Styela clava: one gene and its partner. The protein of the gene in region 1 purifies or fractionates together with the protein of each later gene. This does not show direct contact. Links are inferred from orthologs where the notes say so. Each region holds a gene or a part of one and is shown on either strand. Other genes may lie near its edges. The genes, in order: U3 small nucleolar ribonucleoprotein MPP10-like and U3 small nucleolar ribonucleoprotein IMP3-like.

Region 1 (10,682 bases):
GTCAGCAAGACGCTCGATTTGACAAACGTTAAATCAAAATGTGGTTCGTTAGATAATGCGGATCATATTGCTGGTGGAGGAGATGTACAAATCTTTGATGAAAAACCTCTGTTCAAAGATACTGCAAAATCAAAGGTATACAACTTGTGTTGAATCACTTTATTGTTTTGAGTATTTGAGTGCAGGAGATGCTTGCAATGCAATTCTGAGCTGAATGAAAATTCATCTTAACCTATTCGAAGGTTGAACTAACCAAGTCCTAGTAAAAAGCGCTCGAAATTTGACATCTGTGGTGGGTATACGGATAGCGGCACAGTCGAAGAATGCCTGGATACATGATTAAGTTTGCTGGTGACAATGCTGTATTAAAATTCCATATGAATTCAACAAGTCTAACCAAGTGATGCATACATCTGGCTTTTTTTGGCAAATTTTAGCCATCTCCCTAATTCGTGCAGTTCTTCCCAATATTAGTTGTTTTCTTTCAAAGGTGGGATCATTGGAGAATGCTGATCATATAGCAGGTGGAGGTGATGTGAAGATATACGATGAAAAACTAAACTTCAATGAAACAGCTGCACCAAAAACTGCTACTGGTTTCAATGGCACAGGAAGCATTGGATGTAAGATATGTTTAAAAAGCGGCATTTTTCAAGTATATTCTTTAGAGTTGTTTTCAAAAAGTGGCAAATAACATGAATTCTTTTTTCAGCTTCTGGATCGATTTCGTCAACATAATCTTTGGGCGTTAAGAAGTATTTTTTACAAAACTGGAGGAGGTACAAGAAAGAGATGTACAATAGCATGAAACATGTTTTGATATGACAGATTTCAATTATTTGTTTGAAGTTTTTGCAATTTTATTATGGTACCAATTACTGATTTTTTAAGCTGTAAATGTGTTTTTGTTACTTTTGCTGGGAAAGAGACATGATAGATTTATAAAATTTGCTTGTTCTTTATGATATAAATCGGTGCTCAACTAATTTTGTTCTGTTCTCCCACTATCAGAACTCAGGTTCTGTAATTCATTTACTCGCATCAGCTGATTCTTGCATAACAACGTTTTGACATTTTTGCGGGAAGCTGACTGCCCAGCAACAATGATTCAAATAGAGAATTTTGTGGTTACTGAGAACAAATAATAAATCGTAAACCCTACTAGCTGAATATTTTAATATCAGAACTAGAATTGATGTGCTTAAGCCCAACATCTCAACTTTCATCAGATCCGTACACTTGCCTTCAATTTATGTCACAAAATCATATGAATATCTGTATACAACTAACACGCATGATACATAAACTTGTTTAATCATACTGCTGCTCAGGAATTGCACAAGTATTTCAACATTGTGGTGATTGTCTCTACTTCTTGTTATTTTAGTGTCGAAATTTATTTGTTTTCTTTTTGTTCCATATATGTCATATTAGGAATACTTGTAGTACATGTAATATGTGGGAAATTTTGGGTCCGTTAAGCTTGTGACACGAAGCATTGTTCAATGAATGCTTATATTGTATTCATAGACTTATTGGTAACTGTCCAAATGTGAAAAATACCGCATTCCCTAGCAAATGAGTCTATCCGTTTCAGTATATAACCATCCAATAAGGGAGGGCAAAAAAATTGTTTCTCAGTTGGTCAGTTCAGCACACTCACAGAATTGACATGTGATAAGTACTGCATTGTACGTTAATGGGTTAGTTAACAGCTGAGCTGTGCAGTCTGGTGTCATTTCATCCCTGAATGGGCAGAACAAATCACTTCATCTTGGCGTAGCCTTTTAATTTTTAAGTAAGTTTTAAAAAAAAAAAAAGAGATATATTACATGTGAGTACATAATCAATTCACAGTAGCTGTGATCGGCAGACCCTTCGGCTTGGAATATAAAACACAAATCATGCTTGACAGACCCTAGAAAAAATGAGCGTAGCTACTCAATAAGATGTCCCACTCTAAAATACGCTATCTCAAATTACGTCACATTCTTGTAGTGTGAATTTTTATTTCAACTTTCCATACATAAACTACGATATGATTGGCTTTTTATTTTTTTTAGTAAGATTCCCCCCCATATGGTGTTAATAAATCGTCAACAAATTTATGTAATATTGCTCATCTTCATTCCATGGTGAATTATTGCTGAAGAACATGAAATAGATTGCTTACTTTGCCATTTATATTCTCAAGGTGTCTAAATATTTTTGTAACCCAAATGTCAATCAGATGTAGGGAAAATTGCACATACACAAAAAATTGAATTACTGCTGCTGGTCATCATAAAAGACTTGTTTTATTAGTATTTTAGATCTTGTAATACTTTACTTTTTAATGTTTAAGGGTATCAGCATTGTTCGATTTGTAGATGACCTGCTATTGTTGCAAAATAAAATTTTATTTCAAAATATTTCATGTCTTAAGTCTTCTGGGATAAAACACAAAGTTGTAGATAGCAGTTTCTGTGATTTCGTCAATCCTTGAGATCTTGTGGTTAAAAATGAATGCCAAAAGCATTATACACCTTTTTGTCTTGACTTTGGGATAATCGGTCAAGGCTGAGATAACCAAATGGCTTTTCATTCTGTTATGGCGTCTTTCGCAAAGCCGTAACAAGCTTATCATCTCTCTTCCCAACGAATGTCATGGTTTTTTTCTGGTAATAATCGCTCATGAATTCAATATTTTCAATGACATCCGTCAGTAAATGAGCTCTGGTTACAGACGATCCTGAAAATGAATAACATTAGAAAGAAACAGAAGATGAATGTTGTTAGGTGTATATTGAGATTGTGTTTAGTTACCTGGAGCATCAAAGGCGATGTTTGTGAAATGTATATGGAGGTGGTAGTAAGATGGTTGATAATGGAAATATATTCTTAACTTGTGTTTCTTCACTCCATACTTTTCCTGTATTGCATCCTACGTAAAAGAAAAATCGTCCTTAAGTCTTGTTCTATTAATAAGCTTCAATTGATTTCCAAAACAAAATTGTCACCTCTCCACGTTGCTTTATGTTCTTCAGTAGTGGTAAATGATCTTTATTCAAATCACGAAGTGACTTTAAATCATGTCTGTGAACAAGAGCTGGGAAGAAAAAATATGTGATGCACCATATAAGAAGCTTCTGTTATTTGGGATGTTAATCCTTAAAATACCAGCATAAATAAGCCATATGTGATAACCATTAGAAAATCCCACTGTGGCATATGGCAGCCATCAGAAGCAATGAATATACAAATTATTCTCTAAAATTGGCTACACAAAATATTAAATTTCAAGGATTGTGAGGATCAAACAAAAACAAGGAAAATTTTGCATACCCATCAGATATAATGATTCTATGTCTTTCAGGTCCCATTTCATATCGGGGAGAAGAATGAATCCTATTTCAGGATCAGGATCTTCAAATACAATCCTTTCGGATTCGCTTTTCTTATCCAGAATGTTGAAAACCCACTGTGAAAAAAACATACCATAAATAGATGGGAATATTATGTAATATTATTATTTCTGAAATATAAAAACATACTTTTTTATATAAAAGTAAAAAGATCAGACTATTGCAATTGTTCTACATAGGTGATATATAAAAAGAAAAATTATTTTCCAACTGCTATTTACGATTTATGTACAACATACTTTTCTCATATAAGTTGCATGCAAAACTATACTTGTGCAAAGCAAACAATGCCTGTCATAAATAATTTGTTGTGCTTGCCATTAATTAAAGATTATGTTATATAAAGGTGTGGCCCACGGATTCTCCCAGTTATTTGAATGTGCCTCTCCTGTATTAAAGGTTGCACACACCTGCTCTATGGTATTGTCAATTCTGAATGAAACCTATAATTTTGTTTTCATATGCTTTTAATCATACTTGCACACTGAATCGATTTTCTTCTTTCAAATATGGCAGTGTGATTTGCTTGTAGTCATCGCCAGTTTCCTCTATTACTTCAACTTCTTGCTTTGTGTATTTTTCTATGTGCTTTGTGGTTGCTGGATATATCACAGTTGTCTAAAATTAACAGATGAGAATAATAATAATTGACAGAAGCAAAAAACAAAAAAATATCATTTTATGATTTCAATTATTATTAATAGTACATTACTTCAAAGCACTCAATTTCGAACATATAACTCGTTAAATACATTTCATATCCCAAACCATTCAAATTGTCAAGTTCATTCAAACTCCCTTTTGAAAGTTTACTTTTATTTGAATGCTCTATCCTTGCTCTCAACACCACCATTAAAAAAAGGTTGAAGTGGTCATCAGGCAAAGATGAAATCGCATTTTTAAAGTAGACTACCTTAATTTCTGTGTGCGGTGAAGTGGGTACTGCTGCATATGTACTGTAGATATCATTTAATAAATCTTGGCGGAGCTTTGTTTCTTCGGAAAATAGAGATTTCAAGCCCTTTGGTGATGTGTCAAAAGGCCTTTTTTCCAATATTACAACTAGAAAATAAGAAGATAAATTGCTCTTTTAAATAAATTGAAAAATGTTTAAAAGGTGATTGTTATAAGGTATTTTGGAGTGCCTTTTATTGCGTTACACATAAACCATAAAGTTAATTAAGCCATGAAATGTAAATGTTGAAAATAAAATTAACCTGCGTCTTTGTTGTCTTCTCCAACTTTTCCATGGAGAAATACAAGTTTCTTTTCCTTTACTTCATTTAGGACGACTGGATTTTTCAATCGATGGAAAGGATGTAGCTCCACATCAATCTTAGCTAATTTAGGCGATGGTTCATCTTCCTCTTCACCCATAATCAAACTTCGGCGAACCCAAACACCAACCTTTCAACCACAATATGCTTAAACGAGAAAACTAATTTTGGTACTTTCCAGGGTCATGACCCCTTGAAGCGTGCGCATGAAAGACATACCATACACCGAATCAACTGAGATAAATAACCTGAGAGTGTTGGCGTATTTGTGTGCCAATAGAGGATTTGTCCTGTGGCAAACGACGTTTGAATCTCACACAATGACCTTAGGCATGTTTGCATGTAGGGACCGGTACGATAAAATCCTTTAAAATACTTTGGGTGATGATCCGTCAGCTTTTCAAATAATATGATTTCCTTTCCTGGCGTATTGGTTATATCAGTATATAGACGTTCATATACGGTAGGCTAGTCTCCGTAACGTACGGCACCCTTCCGGTCTTGATGCCTCGCCCTGTTACCGGTACTGTGATGGGATATTGTTCCGTACAAATTCCGATTTACTTGAAATCTTGCTGTTACCATATCCAGTTATTTTTTGTGTGATCCTACTCCACTAATAAAATGGTCCTTACGTTTCGTATCCAATATGCCTCAGTAGGCTACAACAACCAGCTTTTGATCGCTGCTAGCAACGAGCTTCATTCATTTCTTGTTACGGTCCATGAACGCACAGTTGAACCCCACGAGGGCGCTGTCGCGTGTATTATTACTCTGGTGGTATTTTGTTTCTCTGTTAATTATGATTAATTAAATTTGTATAATTTTTTTTTGTCATTCCCTCTAAATCTCCAGCCCACAGGTGTCGTTGACTCGATGACTGTCACAGTCTTTCGCGACTCCTTATCTATTGCTATGAATCTCTCACTTGTATGAATTCTGATGTGTATATTTAATTTTTTACGATTGTCATTATACACGTTTGTCAATTTTTCGTGCTTTAAATTTTGTGTTAATTCTTGCATGATAGAAATAAAATATCTGAATCTGAATCTGAATCTGAATCTGTTCGAGAAGGCATATTAATGTTATCAATAGCTACAATATATAGATATATGGTATAATCTAGTATTCAAAAAAGTTGAGTTAAATGGTGTACAAGTCCGGATTTCATAAATCAGTTTTTATTTATTTGTTTTTATCAATCACTTTATGGCCTGTTATGCTGATTATGGAGTCGAAATAAACTTACGTATATACTGATATACAAGTGTATGTTGATATCACAAAGCTTTTCGTGAATATTTTAACAATACTTCTGGATCGTAAGCCAATATATTAGCAATACTTGCATAGACCTATATTGCAGAAATTTAGCCTCACACTAGAATGATAATGCTCCAATACTTCATTCCACGTTACTGTGAAATTTCCGTATAGCATATAGACTAATACTGTAATATGTTCTACTTAATATATTTTGCATAACTTTTCAGTTTTATTAGATGAGTTGTAGAGTTTAGGAAATTAAATACAGCATTAGTTGAAGTTCAAACTCAATCATGGATGAACACTTTTTCACAAAATTGAAATCAAACTTTGAGCAATTCGTATCCTCACCTTTGCCATTTTTGGAAGGATGTACAGAAGTGTCAGACAATTTTAAATTATTATCAAAGACGATTTATGATTCTAATAAATCATCAGCAATTTCATCACGATCAGGTCCAATACCAAAACTTATCATTGAAGGTTTTGATCATGAGCAGATTTGGCAAGAAATTGAACTTTTCAATAAGAAGGAAGCTGCAACTTGTCTTAAAGCAGCCGAATATTTTAATTCTCAGGACATTTCCCAGTTCATGTTAAAGAAACATGAAAGTGATGATGAAACGGGTGATGAAGATGATGATTTGTCAGAATTAGAACCTGTTGAAGGAGAAGCGGAACCAGAAGGTGATTGGTTCATTATTTTTATTCGTTTTACACTTTTTACTTTGTAGCCTATATATATATAATACAATACTGATTCATCAGGTAATTTATATTTTTAATATCAATGATTACAATACTATTTACTATACATGACTAGTGGAGGTATGATTTTATTATATTCTGTTGTCCAGCACAAAATATTCTCCATAATTCTAATTTGTACAGCTGGAAGATATTGAAATATGCATTTGTTTGAGAGGGGTTCGATGTATATTTTCTATAATATAAGTCCCAAGCAAAGACCAAACTTAAAATTGAGAGATCATGATTATAAAGGTTGCCAGAGACCACTGCAAACAGTTATAGTGCTAGGCTCACCTTTGGTTTTCATCTCAATGTTGTTCAAATTCTTATTTGTAACTGTATTAAAAGTCAAACTGATATCAAGAAAATTTAACAATCAAAATTGAATATATTTAGCGGAAAGCGACGTGGAAGGATTCCATTTTGAAGAAAGTGAAGGAGATGACGAAGAAACTGAAGAAGAAGAAGAAGACTTCAATCAACATGATGTAGTAACGGAGCAGACTGAAGTGGACGATGATTTTTTCAGTCTGCGTAAAATGGAAAAATTCTTAGAAGACGAAGATCGAAAATATGAATTAGAACAAAAGAAGCCGGTAGAGGGCGACATAGACTATTTTGAAGATATTCCATCTGATGGCATTTCCTCATCTGAAGATGAGAATGAAGAATATTCAAGCAAGATTAAATCATCAAGAAACTTGAAATATTCTGATTATTTTGATGAACCTATTAGTTCAATAAAAAATAGAAATGAAAATATTTCTGAGACTGAAATTGATGATAGAAACAATGCACAAGATCAAAAACAATCTCATTTTGAAAAGCATCAGAAACAAATATCACAGAAAATTGGAATACTAGAGGAAAGAGCATTGGCACCTGCAGAGTGGCAAATGACTGGTAAACTGTTTTATTCATTCTATAATAAAGAATATTCTGTCCACTTTGGTATGCAAATCTCACTTGCTTAACGCACAGCACTAATCATGGTGCCTTTTTGGTCAGTCTCATAAAGAAATTCTCATAGAATTCAGTTTCTAACTTCAACTAAAATCACTGAGATCATATACCAAATTAGCACCGAGTATTCCTTAATAAGAACCCATTTGGAATGTGAAGTACTGGGAGTTTGTTTTAGCTAACCCTGGCCTCCATTTTAGTGGTCAGCTATTTTTAGGTGAATGCGTTATGTGCATTTTTCTAAGCTTGTATCGTAAAGAGAGCTCTAGCTGACTTTTTCTTACCAACTGTTACTTGATTATCTGTGATTATGACATCTTAAGTTAGATTGGTGAAATATTCATTTCAGTTACATAATTTATTGATCTTATTATTTTGCGATACAGGGGAAGTCAAAGCTGCATCAAGACCAGAAAATAGTTTACTGCAAGAAATGGTTCAATTCGATCATGTTGCTCGACCTCCTATTGATATAACAGAAGAACACACTAAAGATCTTGAAAGTTTGATCAAACAACGAATCATGGATTGTGCTTGGGATGACATTGAGAGAAAATATAAACCTGATGGTAACTACTAATAAAAAAAAATACTCTACTTTCGAAAAAATTCAATTTGTTTCCAACTTGTTTTAGATGTTCTCTATTGTATTTACCTAGGTATCTGTATTGTATTATGGCCATAATTAAATTATCCAAAGCATACAATTACCATTTCAAGATCATGAAATGGCATATCCAAATGCTTAGATGTATTATTATTTATATAAACAATTTGAATAATCAAGAACCTATTATAAATGGTGTAAAATTGTTTTAAGTATCCATATTATAGTTCTTGAGAGCTCTACCGATATATCGGCCAACCGATATATCGGGCCGATATTGCGTGTTTGCCGATATATATCAGCGTTAGTCGCTTTTCCACGTTCTAAAAAATGAGTCCCCCGGGAAATATCTGCGGCCGAGCTTTTTCTTTTTTTCGCTTCTCTCATTTTGCCTCTCAATGAACAGAGAGTTCTCTCTTTTATCTCTTCGTGCGGCGCAAAATCCTCGCCTTCGAATATCTTGCGTCCCCACTAGACTTGCACGTAATCGACAAAAATCAATTCCGTAATTACGGAAAAAAATCGATTACGTAATGACCCCGTAATTGCGATATTTTTTCACGCATTTAAACCTATCATAACAACCAATTGAATCCACTTCTTTTCCAAATGGGACATCGAAGTTTGGTTTTCATATCACCGACAGTACTACACGCCGGCGACAGATGTTAAAGACAAATACCAAGGAGTGAATTCAAATTAAATTTATTCTGATTTTTATCTTTTGATTTGATTTTCCTTTATCACTTTCGCAAATTAACCGTCCCAATTTTATGCGATCAATTTTATCATTACCAACACTGGTATACGGATATTTATGAAACAATAGTTGCCTTTTTTAAAATCGACTTTCGTATTGAATAAAAATTTCGGGTTTCCAAGTTATTAATCAACGACGAGCGTATTCTTTCGTTTGATTATACCTGCGCTTGCCTCGCAACGAAGACCTGTTATTGATCTGTTTTTTACATTATCCGACTTTGCTACCTAGTTAGCATTTTGCAAAAATTATTGATGCTGAATTATTGACGATATTCCGATTACCAAGCTTCATTTTATATCAAATCCTTTCGCGGCCTAAATGTTATAACATTTGCGATAAATTTAGATCACATAATAATTATTTAGCCGGCGGTAAATTCTTACTCGTAACTCGTTGTAAATTAATGATAATAAATTCTATTTTGTTTTTTAATGTGCTGTAATTTGTATTAATAAAAGTGATTGAGTCGGGAAAAGAAAGTAGCCTTCTCTCCCTTTGCTCCATAGCGGCGGTAAAATTCGTTTAATTTCTGTTTCACGGAGAGATAAATACACCTTCCGGAATTACAATCAACTATCACACATTCCTATTTATCGTTATCAGCGCGGAATAAAAAAGATACCAAATCGTGAAGACAAAAAAGTCTGTCGGTGTTAATTGCGTTACGGTGATAACGCTCATAATAATATCGTTTTGATCGTGAAACCAAACACTCAAACGGGGTGGCGACTTTACGTAATTTGTAACTTCCTTGCCGTAACTCGAAAGAATTACGTAATTCCCTAAATTACGTGCAAGCCTAGTCCCCACCTACTACTGTATGGATCAAAATGGACTTCTATAAGCTTTTTACTGATTGCCCTTTTTCTCTTGTGCTTGGTTTTTTCAAACTTTGCCTTCTGTTTTGTGCATTAATGTGTGTTCTTATTAATTGCTGTGAAACTTTTATCAATGATGCAAGCACTTTGTAGGACTGCTTTATTTTTCAACATAAACTTTTGATTGACTGAAACTGAATTTTTTTTTGTTCTATTTGTATTTACTGCGGGTTCAGGTTGTAGATATCGGTATGTCGATATCGGTTATCGGTCACTAGTTGGCCGATATATCGTTATCGGTATCGGTGCCAAAAAGTGATATCGGTCGAGCTCTAGTTCTTGGTATGTAATTCCAACGCATCTTGGCTCTTAGCGATGCATTCGGTAAGCATCCATCTATATGCAGTGAGGCACTTTAATTTTCGAAAGCTCGAAATGCTAATTAGTTCTACATTCCAAATTTGTGTCACTATAGTGAAGTGGGAAAGTTACTATAGTAAAAAATCTATCCTCTATTTATATTGACAGCTGAACCTGCTGAATACAAGAAAAGAATTGTGTTGGATTCAAGTCAATCAAAACTAACACTCAGTGAAATTTACGAGAAGGAATACATGGAAAAGAAACAGAAATTAGGAAAGGAGGTTGATGAAAAAGAAAATGAAGAACATAATGAAATTAAAAAAGATATGGATGATTTGTTCCGAAAACTTGATGCCTTGTCGAATTTCCACTTTGTCGCCCCTCCTCCTGAACCAGAGGTATGTGTGTATGAAACATAAACATTTCATTATAAAGTCTGTTAAGTCTTTTAAAGTCTTAAGTCTTCTT
Region 2 (8,894 bases), on another chromosome or scaffold:
AACGGTGTCTATCAATCGTCACATTATTTGCTTTCAAAGCAGAACACACTGTTCGGGGTAACATTTCCACTACTCTGCAACTACTCTCGAGTTACCAAAACTCATGTAAATTTAACGCACTAATGGTTTATTTTTAGATTAAATTGCCAACATTACTCGACGAATTTGGGTGGGCTTTGGCATTGGAGCAGTCACTGTTATTCATTCTCATCTGCTGCCGAGGTATACTGCCACGAGGAAAAATTTCTAGAGATGAGTTATCTCAAATTTTACTGGTGCACATGGGCATAGCAGCTGATATTTTGGACCTATTTTCGATTTTCAATGAAGAAGAGGTAAATGTTTAACTACAACTATATGTCAGAGATATTTCAAAAATTTGAACGACTTTTCTTTCAGTTACTTCAACGACCGACTATTATATACCCAACGTTATCTTTATGGACGTTGAGCTTACTACAATACAGCCTCGTTATTACCTCAAGTCGATCCCGAAGAAATAGAATGGCTGGGATCAGTATCAGAAGGGGAGAAAGCAGCAGATCTCGGACCTGTGCAGAACCCCGTGGTGGAAGACGGTAAGACAATTACAAAACCATACGTGTATACATTTTTCGGAATCAATTGCTTGTTTAGTAGAGAGAAAATAGGACGACTCAGAAGATATGGTAGTTGTAGCCGAGTTGCGTCTAGTCATTGGTTCGGTTTCGTTGAGATGATATAATATGGGAGTACGTAATACCCACCAAATATATATGTTACTATTGACCACTTTTTCTGTTATTCAAAAATAATATTATCTTATATCTGCCAGTAAAACGATTTTCAGCTTACAAATTCAATATGTTCGATGTTATTATTTCAAATTCCTTCCAAATTTTTATTACATAAAAATGGAAGATTTCTTGTACTGTATATTCTTTGGAGGGGTGGTGGGTCTTTTTTTCATCTTGATTATTTATCTTTCGTTGTGTGATGTTTCTCCTTCTCCTCTTCCAAGAGTAAACTTCTTACAACCAGCAACATTTGACCTCATGGAAATAGTATCAACGTACATATATAATAACAATATTTCTTCTAACGATACTCCGTTGATTGATTAAGCAAGATGAGCTTTAGATTATAACTATGACACTCCATTAACGACCAAAAAAATACTAGTTTTTAAGGTGGATGAAACTCTCGAAATGTTAAATCTTTAATTCCGAAACTAATGAATGCTATACATTTGTGAAGTTTGAAAATTTGTGGCTTCATAACGGGAAATTGCTTGGGCAAATAACTCTTGAACGGGTAAAATGGCAATGGTGGTCTTCATTTTTCTTTTGCAGGCGCGTTCGGAAATTGGGGTTTTGGTCTAGCGATTTCTGGTCAAACAAAGACGTTGTCGGGGTGCTGTCATCAACCGCAATGCAGGATCTACCTTTTTTTATATTTCGCCTCTTTCTGTTGTCGGGTAAAATTTTGCTTACTTACGAACACTTAAATATTACTTTGCCTCGGTTTATTTTCCCGTGGTAGTAATTTATTGATTATATTCAATATACTATAGTTTACAATTGAAATAAAATATGATTACGTACGATGGTACGGACCGACCACTCACCTTAGCAGGGTGGTTACGTGGTGAAACTGAAACAATAAATTAGTAAAATGAGTATTCCCATATCCGACCAGCATTGGAACGTGGTTCATACTCTATCGAGAAATTAATACAAACGATCTTATTCTTTCTAATTGTAATATAATATTTTTCCAAATACTTCAACCTATTTATTTTTGCACAAAGTTAACGGAGTGAAATGATTATTTGATTGCATAATCATTAAATACCTTGCTATTATTACTATCAGACCTAATATTTGTAATCTGCATCACCAATATTCGTGTCTTAATTTACAGTTATGGGAATCTTGAGCCACACAATGGCATTCTTTACTTGCAAGAATGCCTTGGTTGTTGTTCTTCAAATCCACCGCCTTCGTATTATATATTCGGAGATTAAATACGATGGTATAGAAATAGCAAGAGCACACTTGGAAAGAGATGGAATCAGTGTTGTTGAATTAAATCGTGCTGATATTGTGGAACGGCTAAACAGTAGGAAACCAACCCATGAGATGGTGGCTACTTCAGATTCCCTTGAATTGCCAGGTTTACCTTCAAACGAGCATGAACTGCATTGTGATAATGATACATACTCCACTGACGGAAAACCATCGTGAAATATTTCCTGGCGCAGGCAGTGAACTATTATTTGTAGGCCTACAAACTTCTTATTGTGCATAAATCTAAGATTAGACGATATCAAACTGTGGACGTTTTCCGTACCATTGTTAGTCATTTTTAAACTCACGGTAACATAAAGTCGCATTTAATAATATCATCAGTGTTTCCTATAATATTTTACTTTATTTTCTAAGTGCATCCAAATTTATTGGATTTGTAATGTAACTTAACATTGAGATATAAATTTTATAGATCAGAATGAAATTTTATTTCATTATTTTTTGGTAGTTAAAAACCAACAAGAATATAGTTCGGTTCCCAATGCCCATTACGCTAATTAAAACTTTGTTTTGGTAAGGTGCATAATTATAACTTTTGTTGGAATATTGTATATATGACCAAAAAGGAATGAATGCTACCCTAGTGATACTCATATATATATATATATATATATATAAAGTAGGCTACCAGGCTACCCCATCTATGTAAATTTAAACTTTCCCACCGCTGTGTTGTTTTATTCTTGTCGTTAACATGTGCATTTTCTGTGGGACAAATCTATCGATTCATATATTTGCTTGCGATCGTGGGCAACCGTATAGCTGGCGTAATAATAATTGGGTCAAGGAATTCCCTGTCGGGGTGGTACTAATTAATCATTCCTAATACATTAAGCCTTATCGCGTGTTAGCAAGCAACGTGGAATCTCAGATAAAATATTATAATGTTTTCTGAAATTAACCTTGTGGATGTTTTTCCGACCCCCCCGGATGTTTTCTCACATAGTTTACCAGTGTGGTGAAAAAGTTCGATGCTTATTTTGAGATTGAATTAGCGAGTTAAAGCATGTAAACGGGTATACATATTCATAAGCACAATTTTGTTTCAAAATATTTAATTGGGCATTATTTTTTTTCAAAATATATTGTATTGATTAAAAAATGTTGAGTTTTGCAATGTTCAGCTCTAACAACTATAACTAATCGATGACCTTCTGTTACTAATATATTTTCGCTACATTCATTTACATTTTCTTGACCTCCTGAAGTAGGCTATGCGCACCAAGATGGCGCACATCCTGGACTTAGGTTGTGTACCAGGTTAGGGTTCAGGTTATGCGACATCTTGGTGCGCATACTTCCGGATTACCCATTTTCTGCTATATCTGCAATTATTGATATCCAACCTACCGGTATGTACACTCTTGACAAGTCAGTCATTTTCTTGATCAATGACTATTTATATGATGTGCGCCTGCTTAGGGGCCGATCAGTTTTATGTGAATTTATTTCCTTTTCATTCCGGTACCTGCTACACTACACTGCTTTTATGCATAAATATATTTTAAGATAATCTACATCTGTACAAGCTGATAGACTACCGCTACCGTAACGTTGTCATGTACCAGTAGCACAATGCACAGTGTCAGCTAAACTCTTGAATTGAAGTACTTGAACCTGGTTTTCTTCGTCACTGTGCATAGCTAGTCGCTACTACTTCACATTGTAACCATGTGGGCGGCTACCGTGTTTCCCCAAAAATAAGACAGGGTCTTATTTCAAATTTCTTTCGAAGGGCTTATTTTGGGGGGATGTCTTTTAATTTATCAAAAACAAAATTACAAAATACAGAATTGCGAGATTTTCAAATTTCAAATATACAAAATATGAAAATAGATATCCATTTACTTATAAATAAGACTTATATTAGGATAGGATTTACATATTTATCCCAGGGGAGAGGAAAGCCGGTAATTGTTACGTCGCCTCTATGTTGTTTCTGACTTGACTGCGACACATTCTGTGCCCTTGGCCACAAGTTTTGTGACTACCAATGATTTATCCATGGGTAACTTTTAGACTTTCTGAGAATTGTTTTTCTTAGTCCAGTATTGTTTAATATATTCGAGTGCCTCATAAATTTTTATAGTCTTTTTATGCGGGTTAGTAGATCAGCATTTCTTTATTTGACACTGGAAAAGTAAAAACTTGCTTATGCGTAAAGGGGTTTGCCCATCGCGGAGGGTTTGCCCATCTGCGTCGGTAAGCGAGTTATCCGTCTGCAACGCCAAACTAAAAGTCCTGGTTGAGAGCTTTAGTCATGTTTTCCTCAAGATTTTGTTTCTGGAGCTACAAAATGACCGAAAATGCGTTGCTAATGATGCAAATATGTGAATCATTACCGCACACCAAATGATGTTGGCAGGTTTGGAAATATACTGACGTGAAACCCATTCTAAATAATCTGTATCCTGCATACAACGTCATTAGTTCTCAAAGTCCAGCTCTCCCACGAACGTGCGGACATTTTGCTTGTTACTTATCGATTTTAATCGGTAAGTATGTTGATAGGTATTTGTCTGTTTGTCTGTCTGTCTGTCTGTCTGTTTGTCTGTCTGTTAGATGTAGGCTAGGCGATATCTCACGAAAACGAGATTGGATCTGCAGCAAATTTTGCATGTGCATTCATCATATCTCGTACCTGAGGCCTATTGATTTTGGGCGAATTGTGTCGTATAATTAGCGAGTTATCATTTAATTAGTAATGGGACACAAGGTGTCACTATGGAGTAAGAGCGCTGTTTTGAATCCCCTAACTTTCGATCGATAAGTCTTCGGTCTCTGACCAACATTCTCGTTTTCCTTGTTATTCTGTCTCTCCCGTTCGACAAGATGTTCCTTTTGCGTGTGCGTTATTGTACATTCGTATGAAGATAAATAAATCAAAATCTGCGGTAGTCATTTCATATCCATGCCAAGGTCAACGATGCGTTAGTATTTATGTACGTTTGCTCTGGTTATATAGCGCATACATCCAGACCGATCCAGACCAACGATTAACATATCAGATTAGACAAATGGACAAGCCCACCATCTGTTCCGCATGATTTCACATTTGATGAACATGCACTGAACTGGAAATATCTATATCTCTGTGTGAACATGTCAGAGCTCGTGATTTCCGTCGCCAGATTGTGGAATCAGCGTTTCGTTCTGTGGTGAAGTGTACGGTGGATTCTGTTTGTCATTATTTGATCGCTTCGCGTAGTATTTGTCGACCATGAGGCAGTTGAAGTATCACGAAAAGAAGTTGTTGAAAAAAGTAGATTTTTTCGCTTGGGAAGCGGATAACAATCTTCATGAAATAAAGATTTTAAGGAAATATAGGATACAAAAACGAGAAGATTACACGTCATATAACAAATTGAGTCGGCATGTGCGATCGATAGCGCGCAAACTAAGAGATCTCGAAACCGATGATCCTTTTAGAGAAAGATGTACTGCAAAATTATTAGATAAACTTTATAGAATGGGATTAATTCCTACGAAAGAGTCACTGGCATTGGTGGACAAAATAACGGCGTCTACATTTTGCAGGCGACGTTTACCTGTCATGCTCGTTAAGTTGCGCATGTCGCAGAATTTGAAAATGGCCACGGAATTGATTGAGCAAGGACATATCAGAATTGGAACAGATGTTGTAACAGATCCTGCATATTTCGTCACTAGAACTATGGAAGATTTTATAACATGGAAATCGACGTCTAAAATACGAAAGCACATTATGGAATTTAATGACGAAAGGGATGACTATGATTTTGCATAATATGACTGAAATGTGTTAGAACCTTCAATACTCTCTTGTGTTGGTGCATCAACTCTAACACAGAACGGGGGTGCAAGATTTTCTGTGATGATTTTTCATTTACAAAGCTTTTTTTGCAGCATTGGAAGCATTTATATTGATTATAACAATAATTTATTTATCAATGTAATGTTTCAATTATTTGCAAAATTTCTAGATATATTAATGCCATTGTCAAGCATTACTTTTTGGAGACTGAATATTGTTTGCCACAAACATATGTAAAAACATTGTACACAAAAACTCAACGATTAAATTATTGTAGAATGCGTTATCAAAATGTAGTTTTTTTGTTTTACACTAAAATAGTAGCTGAAAGTAATATTGCAAAATCATATTTTGAGTTTTTGTAATAATAGAATAAAATAGGTATTTTGGGATTTGAACGCCATTTTTAACTACAAATATGCTCGAAAGAAGTGCTCTACTCTGTTGTATTACAGATCCTTCAGCCGCTATTTTTATTGTGGGGTTCTTCAAATTCAAGTACTGACTCGTGTTAATAATGGTCTGAATCGATATGCGTTAATTGATTTAGAAAATTACTTTAAACTTTTGATCAATATTTGTTTAGTGTATTTATCACTATATTCTTCACATATGAAACATTACGAGATGGATGCTTTGTCAAACCTCAAATTGTTGAAGGTACTTTTTCTGCTTAGTTTTGGATATACTCTTATTGTTGCTGAATGCACGTTAAGTGCCCAAAAAGATTCAATATCCTCACGACACATCTCTAGTTTGGATCCACTCAAAGACAAAATGTAAGTTATGCCTAAAATAAAGATTTTGCTTTAAAGATTTCATGAAATAAAGACTTTCCAAATACCTCTTAGTCCAAGGTTGCGAGGTTGAAGGGCCGCAATCGGAGAAAACCCAAAAGTGATCAAAACATTGCGAGTTTACTCACTTTAAATATATGCATGAGAGTTTATTGTCCTAATCAGTTTTTCATGGAAACAATATGAAACCTTTAGTTATTTTAAAATTGCTTCAATCAATCAAATCGTTTTTATCCGCCTTTTCGGAAAAGCACAATAGAATGAAAGCAAGAAATATCACGGAATATTTGTATATATTCATGCCTTTGCACCGAATGGACAGGATAGGGCACCTTGAAATGGCTTAAAACTTATGGATGCGAAACATTTTTATGGAGAACAGCATCGCTCCAAGATTTTTCTGAGAAATATCAGGGTAGTTTTGGTATCTATCCCGTGTTTCGTTTTGTGAAGTCGCTTAAAATCATATTCTTTCGTGACAGATATTATTTGAAAACACACCAGACACTGTAGTTTAACATTGTTGTGGATACCAAATACGTTTCCTCCCAGTTTACCTCAGTCACCTTTTTTTCTACACTCATTGTATGATGAATTGTTATATTTGAAAAAATTTAATACTAGCAGGCCTAAGTTCGGACCTCGAACCCAGTGATAAAAAAAAGTGGATCGCTCTGTCAGCTCTGCGGTTTGTCACTGCTGTCAGATGGCCAACGCTTGAAAATAGTGGAGTGTTTTGACTAAAATAAAGGCACGAAATCATCGGCTTGGTCCTGTGTGCACAAGACAATTCATTCCCTATTCACAGATCACAGAATGTCATCCCCATATGGGCATAATCTTGACGTTTATAGATACAACAATGAAATTCTGTGATATTAACAAACATCAATCCCGATATCGGGATTAGAAAAATAACTATTCCCAGTTGGAATAGTTTGAAAATAAATCAAAATTGTTCTGCTGAAGATACAAATATCTGCCAATGGTTTAATAGTGTACGCTAAAATTGTTCTTCGGCCAGAGGGCCGCAGTTTGGACGACTCTGTGTTAGATCAATCGCTCTTTTGGCCTTTGCGAAGGAGTATGCTTAATAATTTTCTGATTTTCTCCCATTAGTAATTTCCAAATTCACTTTTTGAAGTGCCTCCATTGTCTAAGTGAGAATGTCTAAATTATATAGTAGGTGTGGCATAAATACATTGGGGATGTGTACATTTAATAAACGTTCAATCACCTTGGATTTCTCTATATTTTCAGATTCACCTATAACTTCAAGGATGAAAAGGATCGCGAAGTGTATAAATACACTCTGTCAATTTGTTCTGAAATCAAACCCGGAACAAATATTGCAGTGACACAAGAAGACTTAGTCGACCATAAAACTAAAACCATAGGAAAAATTGACCAAGCTTCAATAAAAAGGGGGAGTAATTGGATAATGCTGACTTTGAAAGGAGGGGATCCCTACCATACACACTGTGGCCATAGTCCACGACAGGCACATGTCATGATTATGTGTGATAAATATCATTTAGCAGTGAGTTCAACTTGTATGTTATTTAGGGTGACCATACGTCCTCCTTTTGGAGGATTTGTCCTACTTTTTTGTTTAAAAATTTATGTCCTCCGAGGACGCTCTGAAACATCAAAATGTCTTCCTTTTTCAAGGGATTAAATATTTAAAATTCTGTTATGATATATATTCTACCGTTTTCGATGTGTTAAGAAAATTTTAAACCAAGTAGAGACTTGTAATTATCATTAGACATATGAAAAGCAATAAATTGCGTTGTGATAGCATATCATACGGGGTTACTCTACTAGGAGTCTAGATTAAATGCATACGCTAATTGTTATACACACTCGTTTATGACGTAAAAAGTGGATTGTTCTGCAATTATGTTTTACGTCATTTCACCTTATATTTTGCAATAGTAAAATTTTGATTTCGGCAGAAAATTACATCAGTAACTTCAGTAAATTTGGCGAAACAGACATGATTTAGAAAAAGTCGAACTGATAGCGAAATGGAGTGCATTACTTGCGCTACGCTACTTTAGCGAATAAAGGCAAGCTCAGCTTGCAGTTGCACGTTGAACATTTGCAGTCGTTTCTTGCTGTGTTTAATGAACAAATAAGGAATAATGATCATTCAGGGGCTTTCATTATTAAAATCAAAGCTTGTCTTAATGCTGTTGAATTTACGATTGAAGAAAGAAACAAATATTCATA

What was found.
Region 2: the proteins of U3 small nucleolar ribonucleoprotein MPP10-like (region 1) and U3 small nucleolar ribonucleoprotein IMP3-like purify together in Homo sapiens (affinity purification with mass spectrometry; 4 studies listed by BioGRID and IntAct, with this or other methods). This does not show direct contact. The link is inferred for Styela clava from reciprocal best matches to the Homo sapiens genes MPHOSPH10 and IMP3.

Annotation. Positions count from the first base shown.
Region 1 is NC_135252.1:8,334,735-8,345,416, reverse strand, and holds the start of U3 small nucleolar ribonucleoprotein MPP10-like, read left to right. Parts: upstream 1-6,164; 5' UTR 6,165-6,243; coding exon 6,244-6,637; intron 6,638-7,096; coding exon 7,097-7,603; intron 7,604-8,049; coding exon 8,050-8,232; intron 8,233-10,379; coding exon 10,380-10,612; intron 10,613-10,682. Other genes in the region: uncharacterized protein LOC120342339, read left to right, coding at 1-135, 491-623, 713-738; m7GpppX diphosphatase-like, read right to left, coding at 2,589-2,731, 2,806-2,923, 3,000-3,088, 3,325-3,460, 3,882-4,022, 4,318-4,466, 4,622-4,781. UniProt on the Homo sapiens protein: Component of the 60-80S U3 small nucleolar ribonucleoprotein (U3 snoRNP). Required for the early cleavages during pre-18S ribosomal RNA processing. Part of the small subunit (SSU) processome, first precursor of the small eukaryotic ribosomal subunit.
Region 2 is NC_135256.1:9,271,383-9,280,276, forward strand, and holds U3 small nucleolar ribonucleoprotein IMP3-like, read left to right. Parts: upstream 1-5,182; 5' UTR 5,183-5,289; coding exon 5,290-5,835; 3' UTR 5,836-6,448; downstream 6,449-8,894. Other genes in the region: transmembrane protein 26-like, read left to right, coding at 1-57, 138-335, 400-578, 1,332-1,456, 1,903-2,225; cation-dependent mannose-6-phosphate receptor-like, read left to right, coding at 6,475-6,641, 7,920-8,199. UniProt on the Homo sapiens protein: Component of the 60-80S U3 small nucleolar ribonucleoprotein (U3 snoRNP). Required for the early cleavages during pre-18S ribosomal RNA processing. Part of the small subunit (SSU) processome, first precursor of the small eukaryotic ribosomal subunit.